5 separate regions of the Mus musculus genome follow, and regions 2, 3, 4 and 5 are each reported to be linked to region 1. Evidence: microRNA targets listed by miRTarBase, many of them from high-throughput screens and not tested one by one. Region 1 holds a microRNA gene; each other region holds the end of a gene's coding sequence. Distances are between the middles of the regions.

Region 1 (3,939 bases):
TCAACTTTAATCCTTAACCGCTTTGATGGTCCCCATTTTCTAGTAAAACTTTGTTTCTCCACTTGATATGTTCCCATTTAATGATCACCACAACAGCCTTCTGATGCATTCCAGTGAGGTTTTAAAGGCAATTATCTAACACCTAAGCACAATCATAAAAATTCTGTGCACCAGGAAGACTATAGTCTACCCTTGCATATCTAATATATATGTAGAAAACAAGCGCAGGAACTCTGGGTATGTGGGATAGAGCATTTTGGAGGATGTTCCTGTTGCCTGCTCATGGTAGAGCATGTCCCCAACATGTGTGTTACAAAGGGCTTAATCTCTAGCACAAAAAAAACAGGCAATATTATTCACTTCTACATTTTGTTTTTGGAATAGCTGACAATGAAAATTACAAACAGTATTTTATAAACATAATCTGTAAATGGGAAAATCACATCAAGGATACATTCCCTTTGTCTACCTTGAAATGATCCAAGGCCAGCCTTGTCTACAAAGCCAGTTCCTGAACAGCCAGGGCTACATCGAGCAACCCTGTCTCAACAGGGTAAACAAGGAATGAAAGAAAGATTGATAGTCTCTTACTATGTTAGGTAATGTAGCTTTTATGCAAACTTTAATCAGTGGTTCTGAAGGCTTAAGTTTTCAGTAACATATTGTTGGAGAAATTTGTATCCAGACATCCTTATTGGCCTTGAATTCGTTTAAAGGTATTTTCTGCTCCTTGTCTAAGGGACTGCCAGAAAATGGGTTATACTGCAAGGTTGTGTTTAGTTGAGTATGGATGAGAATTGGGCTCAAGACACTGGAGCTGCTGTTCATCTTCCTACTTGGCTCAGAGACATGACGATTTATACCAGATTGTCTGTCCATTTTAAACTTCTAACTATGAATATAGATACACCTTAAGGGTCTTCAATTTCAAGGTGCTTATTACCCTATAATCTTAAACCCCAGGCTAAGATTATTTATTGATAATGCTGCCAACAAATGTCTTTTAACTCATGAGTAACTTTTGTCGGGGCTACAAGGGGTTTTTTAAGAGTCTGTTTCCCTCTCAGATCACTTTTTCATGTTGATCTAAATGTTTGTCCACAGTTCAAATCATTTATTATTATTATTATTCAGTTCTCTCAGTAGTCAGGATATTGAATTAGTCCCAAAGATGAGAGATATTCAGGTATATAGATTAAACCTTACAGGCTGACTAGTTACTCGCTAAGAGGTTTGGGGTAGGATATATGGAGGAGAGTTTTACAGGGAAGGAATTTTTTGTCATGGATAGCTGCCATCCTCTCATTCCTTAGATATACATTTAGTTTCTTCTCCATAGAAGAGCCGTATCTAGGAACTGCCAATCCTCAGTAAGACACGGAGATAGCAGCGGTGCCCCATCATTCTCATCTGAATAGTCTCTTGTCACTGGCAGGCTTTCTCCTGAACTTTATTTTTCTTTTGAAGTGTTTAGAGACTTGAAATGTTCATTGCTTTACTTTGAAGCATCAGATATGTGTAATATCCACTCTAGGGTTTCTGATCTCAAAGCATTATAAAGCAAGGCATGTTGGCACATGCCTAGAATCCCAGCATTTCGGGTCCTTATACAGGAAGACCATCTTGACTTTGAGTCCAGTCTGGGTTTCATAACAAGTCCCTGACTGAAACAAACAACAAAATCTATGAACATGTTTTCTACTCAGACCTATCGTATTGATCTTTACTATTCAAATAATGCATTTATAATGAGGACAATTTTACTTAAGTAAATGGTTCAGATTTGGGAAAGGAAGCTCTGAAGTGTGCATGCAAACAGTGACTCTAGGGTTTGGGCATAGGCATTAGCTGGCCTGTTTGTTAATTGCGTCCACTCAATGCTATCTTAGTTATTGTTGCTGTTAATGATGGAGCGGGCAATGCAAGAATTAAAAGAAGAAAGTTAATTATTATTATACCTTTTGAATGGTCAATGGTGTTGTGGGGAGGGATCATGGACGTTTTTAATGATTCACTAATGTGAAGTTAGCCCATGTAGGAAACTCGATGATTCTTCCATTCATGCTCTTGATTAGTAATCTATTGCCTTTCTTCTTTGTTCTAAGTTAAAAGCTTTTGAAAACTTGTGTTATAGCTGAATAAAGGTTTTTGTATAAACACAGAAAAGGATGTTTGGGGAATGGTCACAGTTGACCTGAAGCCGAATTCTAACTGATAACTAGCTATGTTAGTTCTTGTGACTGTCATCCCTGGAGAGCAAGAAACAACAGCTGGCCTTGGTGATCAGGAGAACTTCATGGATCGCGCAGCAACCTGGAGTGGTGTTCCTCTGAAGAAATCCTACTCGGGTGGATATAATACAACCTGCTAAGTGTTCTAGCACTTAGCAGGTTGTATTATCATTGTCCGAGGTTATGGCTCTCGTCTATCAAACTAATCCGTAAGGGCAAGGATGGTGACTTTGTACTCACAGTGCCTAATCCGGTGCACATTGTAGGCCTCATTAAATGTTTGTTGAATGAAAAAATGAATCATCAACAGACATTAATTGGGCGCCTGCTCTGTGATCTCCATGGGCTCAGCTTGTTCCTGCCAGTGGCCTTCAACGTTCAAGCTCTCCGCAGCGTCCTTATTTCTGCAGCTCATTCCTGTGTTCTGTGTAGTATAATCATAGTGGATATATTTTACCTTTCAAACCAATTCCAATTGATTGATAATTGTGCCTCGACTGTGTTTTATAAAAAGGATTCCATATCTGGTTCTTTTCTATCCTGAGGGTGTGGAAGGAAGGGATAATAGCTCATGTACCATAAATGTGATATTTTCTATGAAATACTGTATTTATGCCTGTGTTTTGGAAATGCCTGCTTGTCATTGTTGCATCTCTGTTGTTGTTACTATAATCGCTACCGATTACTCCCTAGGTTGGACTACAGTGATCACTGAGTAGGAGCTTCGTCTTTAAAATCTGGGGTGTGCTGTTATGGTTGGTATTCATTTTCCTTTACCCGCTTTCCCCATACCTCCATTTATAATTTTATTGCTGCTCATAGCTCCAGAAGGATATAGTAACAGAGCAGGCATGGCCTCAGTGTGGTAAGCTAAGTGAGAACAGGAAGTGGAACCAGGGTAGAAAACCCCAGTCTTGCCCCTAGTGACACACCTCAAGCAAGGTTCTCCTTCTGAAAGGTCCCATTACATTCCCAAATGTAGCCACCACCTGGGATATGAGTGTTCAAATACATGAGGTAGGGCCACGGTGTTCCTTCAAAGCACCACAGAGGGCAGAATGTACACCCTGCTAGAATAGCTTTCTATGAAAGGATCCATCTCTTCACTGGAGCAGGCAGACATATGAAGAAGACAACTTGGAGTGGTCGTGAAAGGATTTGAGGTTTGGCATGGACTCTAAGAAGCACGAGATTTGTGGTTTTCCTTCTTTGTTTCTTGCTAGGTAGTCCTGGCTGTCTAGTAACTACCTACAAAGATCAAGGAGACCCCAATCTTGTAGCAATCCTGCTGCTGCCTCACAATTGTTAGGATTATAGACATGGGCACATGTTCATTAGAAAGTTGCACTGTTCTCTAATTCATCTTTTAAGATAAACTATAGAGGGATGAAGATTAGCATGTTACACCACCACAGATAGAAACCATTCTAGTATCACGAAACATCCAACTCATGTAGAATTTCCATTCGCTGTTTGGGATGATAGAGAGATGGAATTGAGTTTTTAGAAGGTAAACCACACAAGAGAGTCTAGGGAACTGACAGAGCCTGGCTGGACTGCACAGTTCGTCCTCAAACGACTTTTTACTGACCCAGCTCCTGAGGAAAGGACCCTGGTGTCTGAACTTCAACGCTGATTTAATAATCATTGTTTTCATGACTGGTCCTTTAGAAATCTGGCCTGCTTTATATTTGCCCCTGGGGCTTAG
Region 2 (3,939 bases), not on the chromosome of region 1:
GGGCAATGGAAAGCAGGAATTTCCAAGCTTAAATTGTTACTGGATGACCACAAGTGTTCATTTTCTTCTATAAATGTCTTTGCTCTTGGATTGACTTGCGATCTTTCTCCTTCCTAATTTATAACAACCCCTATTAAAGGATACATTGGTAACCAACTAGGAGATCAATCAGAACACAAAAATATTTAGTAAACACATTAACTGCTTATATTGTCATATACTAAGTATCAGAATGCTTTATTTTATGTTGTATCTTTTAAATAACAAACACTTTCCTAGGAACATTCTTTCAAACTCACACTCTTGGAAGTGTGCAGAAGCAACTAGACACCAAGGAAGAGAGGCATGTCCTCCAGTGCTGAAGAACTTATTTCTTTCTTTATTTGTTTATTTATTAGTTTGCCCACATACAGAGCATTTTCACAAAGTCACATGAAAGCATTTACAAGTCCTGGGGCCAATAAGCTGGCTTAGTAGGTAAAGGTACCTGCTGCCAAGCCTGATGCCCTGAGTTCAATCCCTGGGACCTACCATAGAGATGGCAGGAAAGAAGTGACTCGAAGAGTTGTCTTCTGACTTACACACACATGTACAAGATATTAGCATACATACACACACACTCACAACCCTAACAATGAATAAATAATGCAGAATAATTGAAAGTGTTTCTATGTGTAAAATGTAACAGATGCATCATAACCAATCTTATAACTCAACATACTCACAATAAACTATATGATAGGAAGAAGACTAAAATCTCTGAGAAATTTGGGTTAGAAAATAGTTCACTTAAAACAAGTGAAGGAGTATAGTACTCAGGGCAGTCCTCTTCCAGAATTCTGTTGGAAAGAGAACTGGGGGCTGGAGAGATGGCTCACTGGTGAAGAGCATTGGCTGTTCTTCCAGAGGTCCTGAGTTCAATTCCCAGCAACCACATGAGGGCTCACAACCATCTGTAATGGGATCTGATGCACTCTTCTGGTGTAACTTATATACATATAATAAATAAATCTTTAAAAAAGAAAGAAAAGAAGGAAAGAGAGAAAGAGAGAGAGAGAGAGAGAGAGAGAGAGAGAGAGAGAATGAGCTGATGACACCTTGCTATGCTCTCCCCAGTGCAGAGAACTGCATTCAGAATAGACATCCTCAATGAGAAGTACCTTTCTTTTTTGCAAAAGCTACATCACAGTCAAGAAGCACTGAGGCACAGCCAGGAGCCATTTCCCAGAGTAAGAAGGGCCATCCCCCTCTACAGCCCTACATCACAGTGGGGTAGTTCCTTTTGGTGGTGGTGGTGGTGGTGGATTTTTTTCTTTCTTTTTTTTTTTTCTTTGAGACAGGGTTTCTCTGTGTAGCCTTGGCTGTCCTGGAACTCACTCTGTAGACCAAGCTGACCTCGAACTCAGAAATCCACCTGCATCTGCCTCCCAAGTGCTGTGATTAAAGGTGTGTGCCACCACTGCCCAGCTGAATAGTTCTTTTTTAAGCCTAGTGTTACAGATAAAATATATCAGTCCACACCAACATCTGGTCATCCTGTCCCATTCCACTTGATTTACACTATGCCAACAATACAGCAAACATGGAAGAAACACTGTCCACTATTCACCCCATTTCTATGCACCTCTCGAGTCTGGAAGACACTAGATTGAGCACTCCTGCTATGGAAACCTGACATGTTCTAGATCCAGAGCACACCATGCACAAAGAAGCACAATGCTCAAAAGAATCAAATGATTTCAGGACATTTGGTATTCAGATGTCTTTTTATTACGTCTGCTCAACTGGTAAACAAATACTAATACTACTACTACAAATACTAATACAAATACTAAACAAATACTAATGGGAAAAAAAAAGACAAAATTTGAATGAGTCCTAATCCCAAGCATTTCAGAAAAAGGATATTCAGCCTGTATTGGTTCAAGCATGAAAGAGTACTTTTTTGATTTATTGTAAACATAATGACAAGGGCAGAGGAGGACTGCAAAAGTATTGAGGCGTGTACAAAGAGTGTTATTCTGCTGAGTTAATTTCCACCTCATTCAGATCAGCATTTAAATATCTGTCCCCTGTCAGATATGAGTCTCTAGGCCACTAGTAAACTGGTTTTATCTAGTGGAAATGACAAAAAGTGAGGGAGACACTGAAGAGAAAAAAAAAAAAAAAGCCCCTTCTGCCACCAGTGTGAGGTCTTCTACTGGGTTAAAATGCCAAAGGACTATTCTTGCCCATACTTTCTCCAGCTAATTCATAGCTGCTCTCTCCTGTCTCCACCTCCTTCCATACAGCTGCAGTGTGGTCAATGGCTCCCAGTGCTGATGGTGGTGATTGCTACAGCACTGGCAGTGTTCCTGGCAAACAAAGGCAACCTGGTCATCTGAAGAACTTCTGGCATCTATCTGAAGTAAAACTCAGATGCAAACAACTCCATGAAAACCTTGAGTTCTGGTACTTTATAACTTGGGTTTCCCTCCAAATGAATCCGGACTCTTAGTTTTATTTTTTTTTCACCAGGTTGTAAATAAACTTTATCTCACAAGACTACTCTTTAGAACTGTGTATTCCTGAGAAATAAGCCACAAGTGTAACCCTTAAGCATCATTGTCTCGCACCCTACTTCAGTTAGAGTTCCATACATAGATTACCTAGTCATTCTCCTTCCCTCTAAGGCACTATCCACCAGGGAAGGCCACCATCCCAGGGTACACTCATGTCTCCACAATGCTCCTTTTCCATCTCTCATTCAATGAAAAATAAACAGACACCTCGGCTAAGGACCTAGGAACTCCTAATATAAAGACTGAAATCATACTACTGCTGCCAACGACTCTCCCCATTCACACGTGTTCAATTGACTGCACAACATTCATCGTAATTGACATTCATTGATACCTTCTCAACGGACAGAGTTAACTCAGAGGGCCACAGCAGGAAGTGTGACCACCTCAGAGGAGATGCTGAGGTCAGCAAAGGCATTCTGAGCCCTAAATCGGGTTCTGAGTTCCTTCTCCCAGGCACTTAGAAAGTTTTTCAGGGCTGGGAACAAACTCTCTGGAACACTAAAGGAGTACAGCAGAATTGATGGTTGACCAGGCAGCCACGAAATCCGGGCAGTAAACACCCGCAGGGGAGTCATGGTTAAGCAGTTGTCATCTTCACGGTTCAGGTCAAATGTGTAAGAGACTGGATATCCCAGGAGTATCCCAAATACAGTGCAGAGATTCCAGTCTGAGGAATGTAGCCTGGTGTAGGAGACTCCCTGAGACACATCTTTCTTAAGTCCTCGAAAACGTGTGATGACGTCAGCTATGAGAGATTTCAAGTCCGGGAGCTGGTCCACCGACCGGACAGAAGGATGAGGTTGGGAGCGGGAAACGTCCACGAAAGCTACAGTACCAAGCAGTGTCTGTTCCAAATGCTGACAGGCATACTCAGGACTGACAATAAAGTTATTCTCTCCAATCTCAAGAATGTGAAGTCCTGGCTCCAGGAAGCCCAGCCCCTGTAGTTCCTCCAGATAACTTTGGAGCGCCAATACTCCTGCAGAGTTGCAATCATAGAGTACAGCTGGCTTCAGCCCGCGGGCCACAGCCAGCACCTCTCCTGCCAGGTGAAGGCAGGTAGCTCGAGGTGGGCATTTTCTCTTGCCCATGCCCAGAGTCTGCTGAGCAGCTGCCACCAGCAGCTGAGGGCTTGGTGTTGACATAAGATCTGGAAGTTACATGACATATGGCCTCCTTAGCTAGCCACAGTTCCTTTCCCTGGGCCACACACAGTTCAGCTCCCAGCACTTGAGAAAGATCCTAGAAACAATATGGTAGGGGGAAATCGTTAATACTGTCAAGATGGGGTCACCAATGCTGCACCCCATTTCTCTGGCAGACTTAAGTTTACGAAATCGTCCTTCTAGTCACATTTACATTGTCTCTGGCTTCG
Region 3 (3,939 bases), not on the chromosome of region 1:
GGGACCACGAGAAGCAGGACTGTGCATAGCCCCAGAAGCGTATCCTGCAGGGGGATGACCACTGAGAGGAGCTGGGTATAAGTTCTGGTTTCCCCCTGTGGCTCTGCAGCCCCACTATGCTCTGCCATCAGTATGCTCATAGGCTTTTTTGTTCTGAGATTTCTTTGTTACCCAGCCGTGGCCTCAGGCAGGCAGTGATATGGAATATCTAACAGTATTCAAATTGATCTCTCTTACAGTGCAACCAGAGACCCCTCTACCTCTGTCCCAGACTTCAAGGCCCACCAGTCTCCTCAGACCATGGAGGGGAAAAGGAGCCCAGAACATTTGGGGCTTCCCCAAAGCCAGAGGTGAGTTAGTCTCTCTGGGTGGTGTTGGGTGGATGAAGCAGGGCTAATAGGGCAAGAAGTAACCTCCATGTTTCCTTTTCTCCCCTAACAGTGCCCTTGAGATGCCCAATGGCTCTACCCCAGGAGGGCCTATTTCATCGGGTTCCCAGTGAGTGTGGCAATAGCCTTGGGTGGGTCAGCAAGATGAGGTCACTGGACCCATGTCCATGGTCCATGTGACACATGTGTTTCTCTCTGTTTCCAGGTAGCTGCCTGGTGACAGTGGTGGCCAAATCCTCTGTCCTCCCTGTGGAATCCCTCTGTGGGGCAGGATGAGTCCTTTGGTGGCCCTCTACTCTATTGTCCCACACCCTACATTCTCTCCTCTGGACTCCCAAGGAGGCTGGTGCCAGGGAGATGCCCTCACCCACCCCCATTTGCACTGAGAAGAGAAACTATGGAGTTTTGTCTCCAAGAATAAAGATAGAGAGTCACATAGAAAGGAAAGAGAGAGAGAGAGCGAGAGAGAGAGAGAAGTATATTATATATTATATATATATATATATATATATATATATATATATATATATATATATATATATATATATATATACATATACATATATATGTTGAGGGAGGAGTAAGAAAGAAAGCCAGGACAATAACTGGGCCAGCAGCTCTGAAGCACACCTTCCCCGTCTGTCCCAGTAGGGGCTGGCGCTGGGGTTGGAGGCCGCTGGCCTGTGCTCTGGTGCAGATGCTCTTACCCAGCTTCACTCAGGACCACCTTGGGGTGTAACAGAGGGTGTCATCCGGCCCCTGGCCCTGGGGAACATCCCTAGAGGCCCAGAATGGGGGTTGCTGGGTACCCCATGCCCTGAGGGTTCCAGCACTGCTGCCAAGTGGCCTTGTCCCAGCTCCCCCTGCCCCCCCCAAGGCTGGTGTGAGTGTGCAAGTATGTGTGCAGAGCTTGTGTTTCATACTGCAGATATAAATAAAGGAAGATAGCAGAACATTCCTGCTGTGGGACTGTGAGTTCTGGGACTCAGAGTTGGGTGAACTTGCTCTTCATAGCCTAGAGAGCTACATTCTCTTAGGACCACACTTGTGAGAGTGTGTGTGGGTGTAGGGGATGGGGAATACTTAGACATCAGGCAGAACATCAGGAGTTAGCACTCTGGGGCGCTCTCATCCTGATATGTGTACCTCCGTGGCCCTGTTCCAAAATGCAGATCAGTTAGGGCTGTGCTGACTCAGCTCTATCCTCTAACAGGCCTGCTAAAAGGAGCAAGAGGTCCCTGGACTTTGGAGCTGAGCGTCCTGCCATTACGGGGATAGGAGGCACCAGGCATGTGGTGGTGGCAGAGGCAGAGGCAGGTGGATCTGTGTGAGTTCAAGCCCAGCCATGTCTACAAACTGAGTTCCAGGACAGCCAGGGCTGGGCAGAGAAACCCTGTCTCAAAAACAAAGGTGTGGGGGCTGGTGAGATGGCTCAGTGGGTAAGAGCACCCGACTGCTCTTCCAAAGGTCAGGAGTTCAAATCCCAGCAACCACATGGTGGCTCACAACCATTCGTAACGAGATCTGACTCCCTCTTCTGGAGTGTCTGAGGACAGCGACAGTGTACTTACATATAATAAATAAATAAATCTAAAAAACCAAAAACAAAAAACCAAAGGTGTGGGAGAGATTAGGAGACAGGAAGCTCCCTTGAGAATGGACATACAATGAAGCATCCCTAAGGGGGATGGTTGAGGAACCTAGTAGTTTCTTGGCATCCAGTAGGTCCCTATCTTGTTCATGGGAAGGCTGCAGAACATGAGTGTACAGTGGTGTGGTCGTCCTTCCTTCCAGGGAATGTTTGAATGACTTCAGGCACAATGCAGGATTTATTTAACCAGTGTTTGTGGCAGGACCCCTGTTTTCCAGGGTTGGTTGTAGGGCTACCCCTCTGTGGAACTTTGCATTGTTCCTTATAATTGGCTGGGTGTGAGACAATGGGAGTTCCACTTTGGGGGAGGGGGCTCACTTTTGGAGGTGGTGGCCAGGTTTCTAAGTGCTGGGGGGTGGCCCTTGGTGCCTGATGGGTACCTTATCAGCAAGTGCCAGACAAGAGCAGGCCTTGCGTGAGCCCTGTTATCAGCCCCAGAGTCCACAGGACACTTGGGTTAATGTGTAACCACAAGACTTCCCTCTGCCCTCTGAAGCCACTGGCTCCTAAAGAGAAGCAACTCAGCATGGATGCTAGAAAAGAGGGGCTGCCCCTGGAGACACTCTTTTCAGACCAAGTGAGAACCTGTAAGGTGGGGATGGGCAGGTCTGGGAACATGGGCAGTACTGGGGCCTGTGATTCTCTATGCTTGGTGAGTTGGTGGGGATGCCCTGTCCTTCCAGGAGGCTGGGTTCTAAGGTATCGTGGTTTTGTCCTTGCAGGAGATAGGAATGAAAAGGTTCTCAAGGTGGCTAAAGATCCTAGTCCCGAAAGTCCAACCTGGACATGCTTGGGTCCTGGCATGAGGGTGGTGTGGGGGATGGCCGTTAAAATAGGTTCTCACTGGGTATCCTAGACAGGTTTTGAAATCAACAGCCTCCCGTTTCCACCTGCTAAGTACTGGAATTAGACATTTCCTACAGTGCCTTGCAGTGACCCCTCCCCCAGGACTGGCTGCGAATGGGAGGGAGGCTGAGAAGCTTCGCTCTCTTGAAGTACCCACAGGTCCGCAGGTGGCTGGCCCCCTTCATCCTTGCCTGCTCCCTTTACTTCCTCCTCTGGATTCCTGTGGACCAGCCATCTTGGGTCAGTGCCCTGATCAAGTGCCAGCCCATTCTCTGCCTGGTTGTGTTCCTGTGGGCTGTGGCCCCTGGTGGGAGCAGCACCTGGCTCCTGCAGGGAGCTCTTGTATGTTCTGCTGTGGGAGATGCCTGCCTCATCTGGCCTGAAGCTTTCTTTTATGGTGAGCAGGGGCTTCTATGACAACACACCTAGGGTTCTTGTGGAGTTGAGTCAGTACTGGGACACAGCTTTTCATTATATGGAGCCCTCCCTCCCTAGGTCCTCTGGGTTATCCAGAGGTGCCAGAAGGCAGTGATGGGTGACAGCATAGCTCACAGTTCAGCCAGGGGCTTGGAGTCAGACTGGTTGGAAGATGTGGGATTACCTGGTTGGAAGGGGTGGTGTGGAGAAAATTAAGGTGTAGCATGACTGAGGTGGGTGGGGGAGGTAAGGAGTCATTTTTGAGATGTCTATATATGAGGGCTGGTCTGAATGGCCTCAAATGTTGGATCCTCCTGCCTTAGTTTTCTCAAGGGCTAGGATTACAGGAATAAGGATATGTAGCTGTGTAGATGGGAAGTGTGGCCATCCTGGGCATGGAAAGTGCATGTGGAAAGGACCTGGGGTAATAGTGTATGAGTTACTTTGTCCAAATGGGCCAGTTTGGCTAGAGTAGGATGGGGAAAACAAGGGTATGGGGCTTCCCAGAACACGATTTGGAAAGACAGGTACTTGAGCAGAGCAAGCACATGATGCCATGCATCTTAAGGTTATCACCATTGCTTTGGGAACTGATTGAACACCCAAGGATAAGAAGAATTTGGAGACCCATCAAGA
Region 4 (3,939 bases), 64 Mb from region 1:
TTCTGTAATGTTTGTTTAATGATATGGAAGAATTGCTCATTTTTATATGTGAAGTGGCATTGTGGTTATTTTTTAAAGTTCTTATTCCTAATGAGATACTCATAGATTAAGGGACAGGGTACCAGGGAGTTTCTAAATCTTACAGGTTGGGAGGAGGTGTGTAGAAATGGAGCAAGTAATACTGATTAGGAGTTGATATCCAAGGAGTCACCAGTTGACACCTTTTACAACTGCATGAATTTTTGTACACATTTGTACCTTTTATAATGACAGCTACATGAGAGTGGGGAGAGAGACACTTAGGAAAATAGGAGTTTACATACTCCAAGTGTAAACAAATTTCAGTGCCAGTTCCATGTTCTTCAAAATTTAGTGAATGCAACGCTACCTGTGACGGTATTTGCATACATGCACCAGGCTTATGCTTGTTTATTTGTTTATTTATTTATTTAAAATTATGTACATGTACCACTGTACTATTATGCCATTATAAAACATACACAAACATAAAAAAACTAGATAAAAATAAACACAAGTATCATTCTAGTATGTTCTTCCTATACTCTAATGGACATGAACTCCAGTTAGGAGCCCCATGCTTAATGAAGGTGAGGGGGCCTTTTGAGATTTTTGAATAGTAAAGACTTGCTTTAGGAGAACAGAAACTTACTGGAGTAGTCACAGGAAATTAGAGATTGGCTAGAAAGACCCAGAGCTATTTCCCTGAGGCTTCTCAAAGAACCACAATGGAGTAGGAAGTTGTTCTAGCTAGATTTGCAATTTGAAAACAGACCATCATTTCCCTGTATGCTTCTTTTCAGAGTATGCACTACACACAAATGTGTTCTGCACACAATCAGGATACAGTATGCATCGAAAACAAACATCCTCCACACAGTATCTTGGGCAATATGTTTAACACAACAATTATGATAATTATAATATCTAACATTGAATACTTATTCTCCATCAGATATTGTGGTAAGAACTTTACAATACACAATTTTACTTAAAACTTGTGAAAACCCTATGGAAATAGATCTCATGATTGAAGTCCATTTCACAATAAGGAAATCAAGACTGAAAAAGAAAAGATAGCTTTCCCAAGATGAAAGGGCTAGGGAATGGCAGGACCAAAATTTAAATCAAGATGTTTCTGATCCCAAGCCCCACATTTCATAACTAGTAAACCATAATGCCTCCAGAAGGAACTAATGATAGTGTCCAAACCAAGAGATCATAGACATGATTAAATGAGATAATACATGTGATAATAATGTTTAGCACATTGTCTGACACAGAGCACACATCCTATTATTGTTTGTATTATAGTACACAGAATATTTGCTAAGATTTTCCACAGTAAACACCACTAATGTCTCTCAACAGCAAAACACCAAATATTTAGAATTGTAATGAAATAATGTTTTATTATTTAATCAAACATTATTTATAACAACGTATATCTGAACTCCTTTCATTGGTTACAATCTGTAAATCTGTGGTGTTGCATTTGCTGAGTCTCTGTGGAATGAATGGCTGACCAGAGAGAAATAGCAACTGTAGACCTTGCTAGGTCTCCTGCATGGCAGGCTACAAAATGGGAAATATTGATTCTTGCTATACTACTCTTATTCTAAGCCATTTACAGAAATAGGAATTGGGGAGCTTGACTACAGAGTGATCCAGAAACTACATATGTACATATCAATTTAACTTATGATTGAAGAGTTTGCCTTCTTTTGTTTTGACCCAAAGATATAATTTGAGTGATGACAGTTCAGAACACACCTTTGTATTCCCTTAGTTTCACTTAAAATAGTCAAATTTGCCATGTTTCTGTCAGATTTTGTATTTCTATCTGCCAAATGAAGTACTCATTAGGTAAATACTACCTTTTGAATCATGGTTTCAATTATGAGAGTAGTCATCTCTACTTGATTTTCTGGAACACTCTAGATTTGAAATTTTGTCCCAGTAGTAGGCTGTCTTTCCACGTTTTGTTGCTAGCCATGCTCCTGTCAGAGAGGGGCAACAGGAAGCCCTTCATGGAGCTGAGGACTAAGAGTTGAAGGCTGAGCTGTGCTTCCCAGGTGCTGGGGTGCGCTCTGATTTACATTGCTGGGTCTGCACTTTTTGTGCTCATTAAATCTGCTTTTGTGTAATTCTACAAACACTTTACTAGGTGTTCTTGAAAGGAAATAGTAAGCTTCATGGTTGAGTTGGAAGGAAATAATGCCTTCGGTTTATGTATTTTGACATTGAGTCAAAGCAGATCTCTCTTTTCATCAAACAATTTAATTTTGGCATTACTAATTCCATTTATTTTATGTAATTAGACAACCTATACCTTTAGTTATTGCCTAGGATCCTGCCCATAATTTCCCCTGTTCTTTTATTTGGGGGAACTTTTTAAGTCTAGAAATACTATAAAAAGCATTTATGCTGACACAATGGAATCTGCCCACCCCTGCCAATCTGTAGCCCAAATAGCATAAACCAAAATTGAATATGTGGGGATTCTTGGAAGAAAGCATCCAATAACAAAACACTATGAGCAAAAAGTTAATTTATTATATATTTTCTAGTAATTCATATTAGCTTCTTGAATTTTAAATATATTTTTGCTACTTCCAATGTTTAAAAATTATGATTTTAAAACACGGGAACTATTTTATATACATTTTGATTTCTTTTCTATTCTGTTTCTTTTGGCTTTTCTTCTAAATATGAATGATAGGGTCTCCAAGTATCCATTTGGAAGGAAAGGGGATAGGATTCATTGTTTTCCTCTAACAATGTAGAATTTAAAATTTCATATCATATGCTTAGAGTTTTGACTACATGAAAAATAGTCAAATGTCATCATTTTCTCATATATTCCTTCTACATGTATATTTGTATAATATAAACAGAATATATCTGATTGAGACTTTTCAACATTTCATCAATGTAACTTCTATCTCCTATTTTATATAAAAGAACAAAATATACAGAGAGAAGAAAGGAGACATCTGTTCATTGTACACAGAAAGTAAAGAAAAGTTCATGTATGGCTTTGCAAAGATAGATTATGATGTGACTTCCATATTTATTTATTTAAAAGCATCTTGAGAGAACGTGTTAGTGTGCTTACAAGAGCGGCCATGGTGGTTGAATGTCGCATCGATAGTCCAATATTAGGATCCCCAGTGGTCTTGCCAGTGGCTGCCTCAGCAGCTTTCAGGAGACAAATATAGTTTATGACCACTTCATCAATCTTTGCTACAATTTCTTGCCGCTGTGTTTCAGTGTTCACGACTTTCACTAACCGCATGCAAGCTTCTGTTAGGCAACAGAGCACTTGAAAACTGGAACTCATAGCTAGGAGCATCTCTTCTGGGCTTTTCTCGGCCATTGCCATTTTCCTACAGGCACTTCCCAACTGTCTGGACTCAATGGATAACAGTTGCTTGTACTGAGAAAGTGTAAGGTCATATGTTTCAGGGCGTGACTCCTCCTTCCTTGCCTTGGTTGCCCTCACAAGGCAGAGCAGCTCATTGGCATCATTTTGGGCTTCGAGAAACCCATCGGGCATTCCATATGTGTTTGCCTTTAGGGCATTTATTCTTGCAATCCGGGCATCAAAAGCCAGACTGCTGAAGTCCAAGTCATCTGGGCCATCTGGGTCTTCTGTCCAGACCTTCAGAGCTGTCCCTCTGGACAGTTCTTCCCCTTGCTTCTGCAGTCCAACAACCAGGGATGAGTTACCTGGTTCCGACATGGCTTGGGTTATCTGTGGTCGATAGAGACAAGAGACCTGAAGGGTGGCCTCTCCTTCCTCTTCATCCTCATCCCCATCTTCATCCTGTCCTTGGTTTAGAAAACAGTAGCTGAAGGGTCCTCGACATCTCCAGTTGCTGCTTTCCAGCTTCCGTAAGGGTAGGGTCCTATACACCT
Region 5 (3,000 bases), not on the chromosome of region 1:
GAGTGACCCAGGCAGATGTGGGCTCGGCGCTGGCCAACCTCAAGATCCCGGGCGTGGGCTCGCTCAGCCAGAGCACCATCTGCAGGTTTGAGTCTCTCACGCTGTCACACAACAACATGATCGCGCTCAAGCCCATCCTGCAGGCGTGGCTGGAGGAAGCTGAGAAATCCCACCGCGAGAAGCTCACTAAGCCGGAGCTCTTCAATGGCGCGGAGAAGAAGCGCAAGCGCACGTCCATCGCGGCGCCGGAGAAGCGCTCTCTGGAAGCCTACTTCGCCATCCAGCCAAGGCCCTCCTCGGAGAAGATCGCGGCCATCGCCGAAAAGCTGGATCTCAAGAAAAATGTGGTGCGCGTCTGGTTCTGCAACCAGAGGCAGAAACAGAAGAGAATGAAATACTCTGCCGGCATTTAGGGACCCTTCTCCAGGGATGGCCCTTTCCCTTCGCCCTCTTTTTTTCTAACCCCCTTCTTGTCTCTTCTGCCTCTTTCCTTTCTACTTTGGCTATCAGAAAACAATTCCGGTAAATGTGAACCCAGACCAAGCCAGGAGCAAAGAAGCAAGCAGCTGAGCCCAAATCAGAGAGATTGTGAACCGGTTTCGCAGTGAAGAAAAACCAAAACCACAAACAACACAACACGAAAAGGAATTTGTCAAGTTGTAGCAGAGCTGTCCCCTTTAACTGCACCTGGGCTGCTCGGCTTCATCAGAGAAAGCGAGGAGCTGACTGTCAACAGGAAGGTAGAGGGACAAGCTTTTGAAAACCCTGCAAGAATGAGCAAGTAAGATTTGTTTTTGTTCTTACAGACGTCACCTTGTTCATGTTTAAAAGTACACTTTGCAGCTATTTTTCAGAAATAGAAATTGATTCAGGACTGAAACTCGAAGCTAGAGTTGATGCTTAATGTGATATGATAGAGACATCTCTAAAGTATTTTGAATTAAAAAAAGATGGCAGATTTTCTGCATTTACACTGTATATTATATATATATTTTTACTGTGGTTCTTATCGCTTTCTTCCTTCTCTGAAGTGTTAACACTTATGGAAGGAGTTGCGCCTGCTGTGTTCACTGATCTTGACAGCTATTATTAGATTATTGCCGTACAACCCTCTGTAAATTATTAATTTATCTCTCTGGCAACTTAATTTTGTGCACATCCTAATTAATTAAACTTCTTTAGTCTGAAAAATAAAACCGGCGGATACGTATAGCTAGTGATGCTCAAAACATTTTTCTTTTTTTCTTTTTGGTCCTGGATTTTTACAGCTTCCCACTTAGACTGTGTTCGCTTTGGCCTAGTTGTATATTCTCACTTTGAATGAAGATTGTTTCTTCCCTTTGTTTTTGACTGGTAGTGATCTAATTTGTGAGCTGACACTTTATAATTGATGTCTTAACCGTGTAGACCAGATTCACTGTCCGAAGTCTTGTTTACTTCCTTACATATTTAATGGGGATTCCCATATTGTCCCCGCGGCACACGTGCTCTCTCACTCACCTTACATGCCTACACACAAACACACATACACATCTCTAACAGAAGAGAAGAAGCAGCTGGAGGTACCAACGATGAGCAGTGTATACTTTCCCAGCCTTAGGTGCAGTCTCCACTTGGTGCTTACTCTGCTGGATTCTAAGATTTCACCAAGGTATTTCCATCTCCCAGTTTTCGATTGCTTTGTTGCTACATTTTGACCTTTATAGGGGTCCTTCATTTTTTCCTTTTAGGAGGTTTGTTTGTAGGGGGAAAAATTTGGAACTATAAGAAAGACAGTGCACTGCTTGTAAATTCACAGTGTTTGGTAGAATCCTTTTGGAGCACACACACAAATAGGTACAAAGTGACTGGTACCTTATCTATTGTAAATATTTCATTCAAAATGATGCACATATGAATATATTCTTACAGAATTTGCTGTAATTGCTGATCCATTTGAGGCTCTCCAAAGTTCTGAGTTCTGTATATGACCTCGTTTCTTGTTTTTGTTAATGGGTTATTTACTATAGTAATGTATTAAGTTATTTTGAGTGTTGTTTCATTGTCTTTCATTGAAGAGATGATTTTAATGTTTTACTGGCAAAGTATGCTGCTTTTTTCATTAAAATATGCTATTAATATTAAATGACTTTTAAAACGTGATGCAGTTTTTAATCATTTATGTGGGAATTATTTTGGTGCTGATTCTTTTAAAAGACAGGAACACAGAGAGTGGCCGCTATTAAAACACGGCTTGGACTTTGTAAGAGGCAACTCCCTGGGAAAGGATAAAAGAACAAGAGGATTTATAATATCACGTTAATGGCCAGGGCTCATCTCACAGGGCGCTTTGCTTTTTAGCTTAGATGAAATCATGGTGTCTGGCTCCATATAGCTCCTCTGGAGTCCTTTCTCCAGACTTGAAATAATTCTGTAAAGAGAATCTTACAAAGCCAAGGTCAGATGGAAACTATTTCAGCCACTCCTTCCCATCTCCTATGGGGCAAAGGAAGAAAGGGACCCAGCCCACATTTCAGTAGCTGTGGGAGTCTGGGTGTGGCAACTGTGGGGGCAGGACTTGGTGAGCCAGGAGCAGAGTGCAGCCCCCATCTTCTCAGTTCTTTAGCCTGTCCTGGAAATCAACCTGGGGTTCTGGCAGATGAATAAAGTCTCTGTCTTGGTGTCCCTCTGTCTCTGTCTTTTTCTATTCCCCATAACCTTTAAGAAAATTAATATTATTGCAATAGACAGGATGTGGCTGAGGAAAATCCTGGGTTGTTAAAAGGAACAAAATTTTGCCCCTTTTTGTGACTTTGTCTGGCACAGGATCTGGAGGAAGTCTATTAAACATTCATGTGGCCATGGGATTCTGCCCATTTGGCACAGCCACTTCTTTTTCTAATCCGACTTTAAGACAATTCCTCTCCCATTATAATAATTTTCGGGTCCTTCACAATTGTTGGGCAATGTATTGGGCTTTCAACGTTTCTTTTTCTAGTAAGGCTATGATTTGTATTTTTA

The links. Region 1 holds the annotated microRNA mmu-miR-374b-5p (AUAUAAUACAACCUGCUAAGUG, at 2,353-2,374, shown strand). A microRNA usually pairs through its seed, bases 2 to 8, with sites in the 3' UTR of a target mRNA and lowers its output. Matches are read on the target gene's strand: a 7mer-m8 pairs with bases 2 to 8, a 7mer-A1 pairs with bases 2 to 7 and ends in A, and an 8mer does both.
Region 2: miRTarBase lists A130010J15Rik as a target of mmu-miR-374b-5p. Seed matches in the 3' UTR shown: 7mer-m8 at 998-1,004.
Region 3: the mRNA of Ppp6r1 is a reported target of mmu-miR-374b-5p. Seed matches in the 3' UTR shown: 7mer-m8 at 869-875 and 7mer-m8 at 876-882.
Region 4: miRTarBase lists Frmpd4 as a target of mmu-miR-374b-5p. Seed matches in the 3' UTR shown: 7mer-m8 at 2,902-2,908 and 8mer at 937-944.
Region 5: the mRNA of Pou4f2 is a reported target of mmu-miR-374b-5p. Seed matches in the 3' UTR shown: 7mer-m8 at 979-985.

What each region holds. Positions count from the first base shown.
Region 1 is chrX:103,571,547-103,575,485 of GRCm38, reverse strand. Mir374b (microRNA 374b) reads left to right here and starts at 2,332; the gene lies at 2,332-2,426. All of the region lies in intron 9 of Ftx (Ftx transcript, Xist regulator (non-protein coding)), which reads left to right. Mir421 (microRNA 421) reads left to right here and starts at 2,490; the gene lies at 2,490-2,565. It overlaps Mir374c (microRNA 374c), which reads right to left and starts at 2,401; the gene lies at 2,353-2,401.
Region 2 is chr1:193,174,112-193,178,050 of GRCm38, reverse strand. It overlaps A130010J15Rik (RIKEN cDNA A130010J15 gene), which reads right to left. Exons shown (of 2, transcript NM_181048.3): 2 at 219-3,806. The coding sequence starts at 3,709. The coding sequence ends at 2,918. Traf3ip3 (TRAF3 interacting protein 3) reads left to right here. Exons shown (of 16, transcript NM_153137.4): 16 at 2,292-2,547. The coding sequence ends at 2,384. Among named protein-coding and RNA genes, the nearest start is that of A130010J15Rik, 2.5 kb to the right of the region's middle.
Region 3 is chr7:4,628,900-4,632,838 of GRCm38, reverse strand. Ppp6r1 (protein phosphatase 6, regulatory subunit 1) reads left to right here. Exons shown (of 24, transcript NM_172894.2): 22 at 240-350; 23 at 442-498; 24 at 595-1,344. The coding sequence ends at 598. Tmem86b (transmembrane protein 86B) reads left to right here and starts at 2,357. Exons shown (of 3, transcript NM_023440.3): 1 at 2,357-2,617; 2 at 3,037-3,283. The coding sequence starts at 2,567.
Region 4 is chrX:167,470,882-167,474,820 of GRCm38, forward strand. Frmpd4 (FERM and PDZ domain containing 4) reads right to left here. Exons shown (of 17, transcript NM_001368936.1): 17 at 426-3,939. The coding sequence ends at 3,092. Among named protein-coding and RNA genes, the nearest start is that of Prps2, 90 kb to the left of the region's middle.
Region 5 is chr8:78,432,150-78,435,149 of GRCm38, reverse strand. It overlaps Pou4f2 (POU domain, class 4, transcription factor 2), which reads left to right. Exons shown (of 2, transcript NM_138944.3): 2 at 1-2,141. The coding sequence ends at 413. Among named protein-coding and RNA genes, the nearest start is that of Pou4f2, 3.0 kb to the left of the region's middle.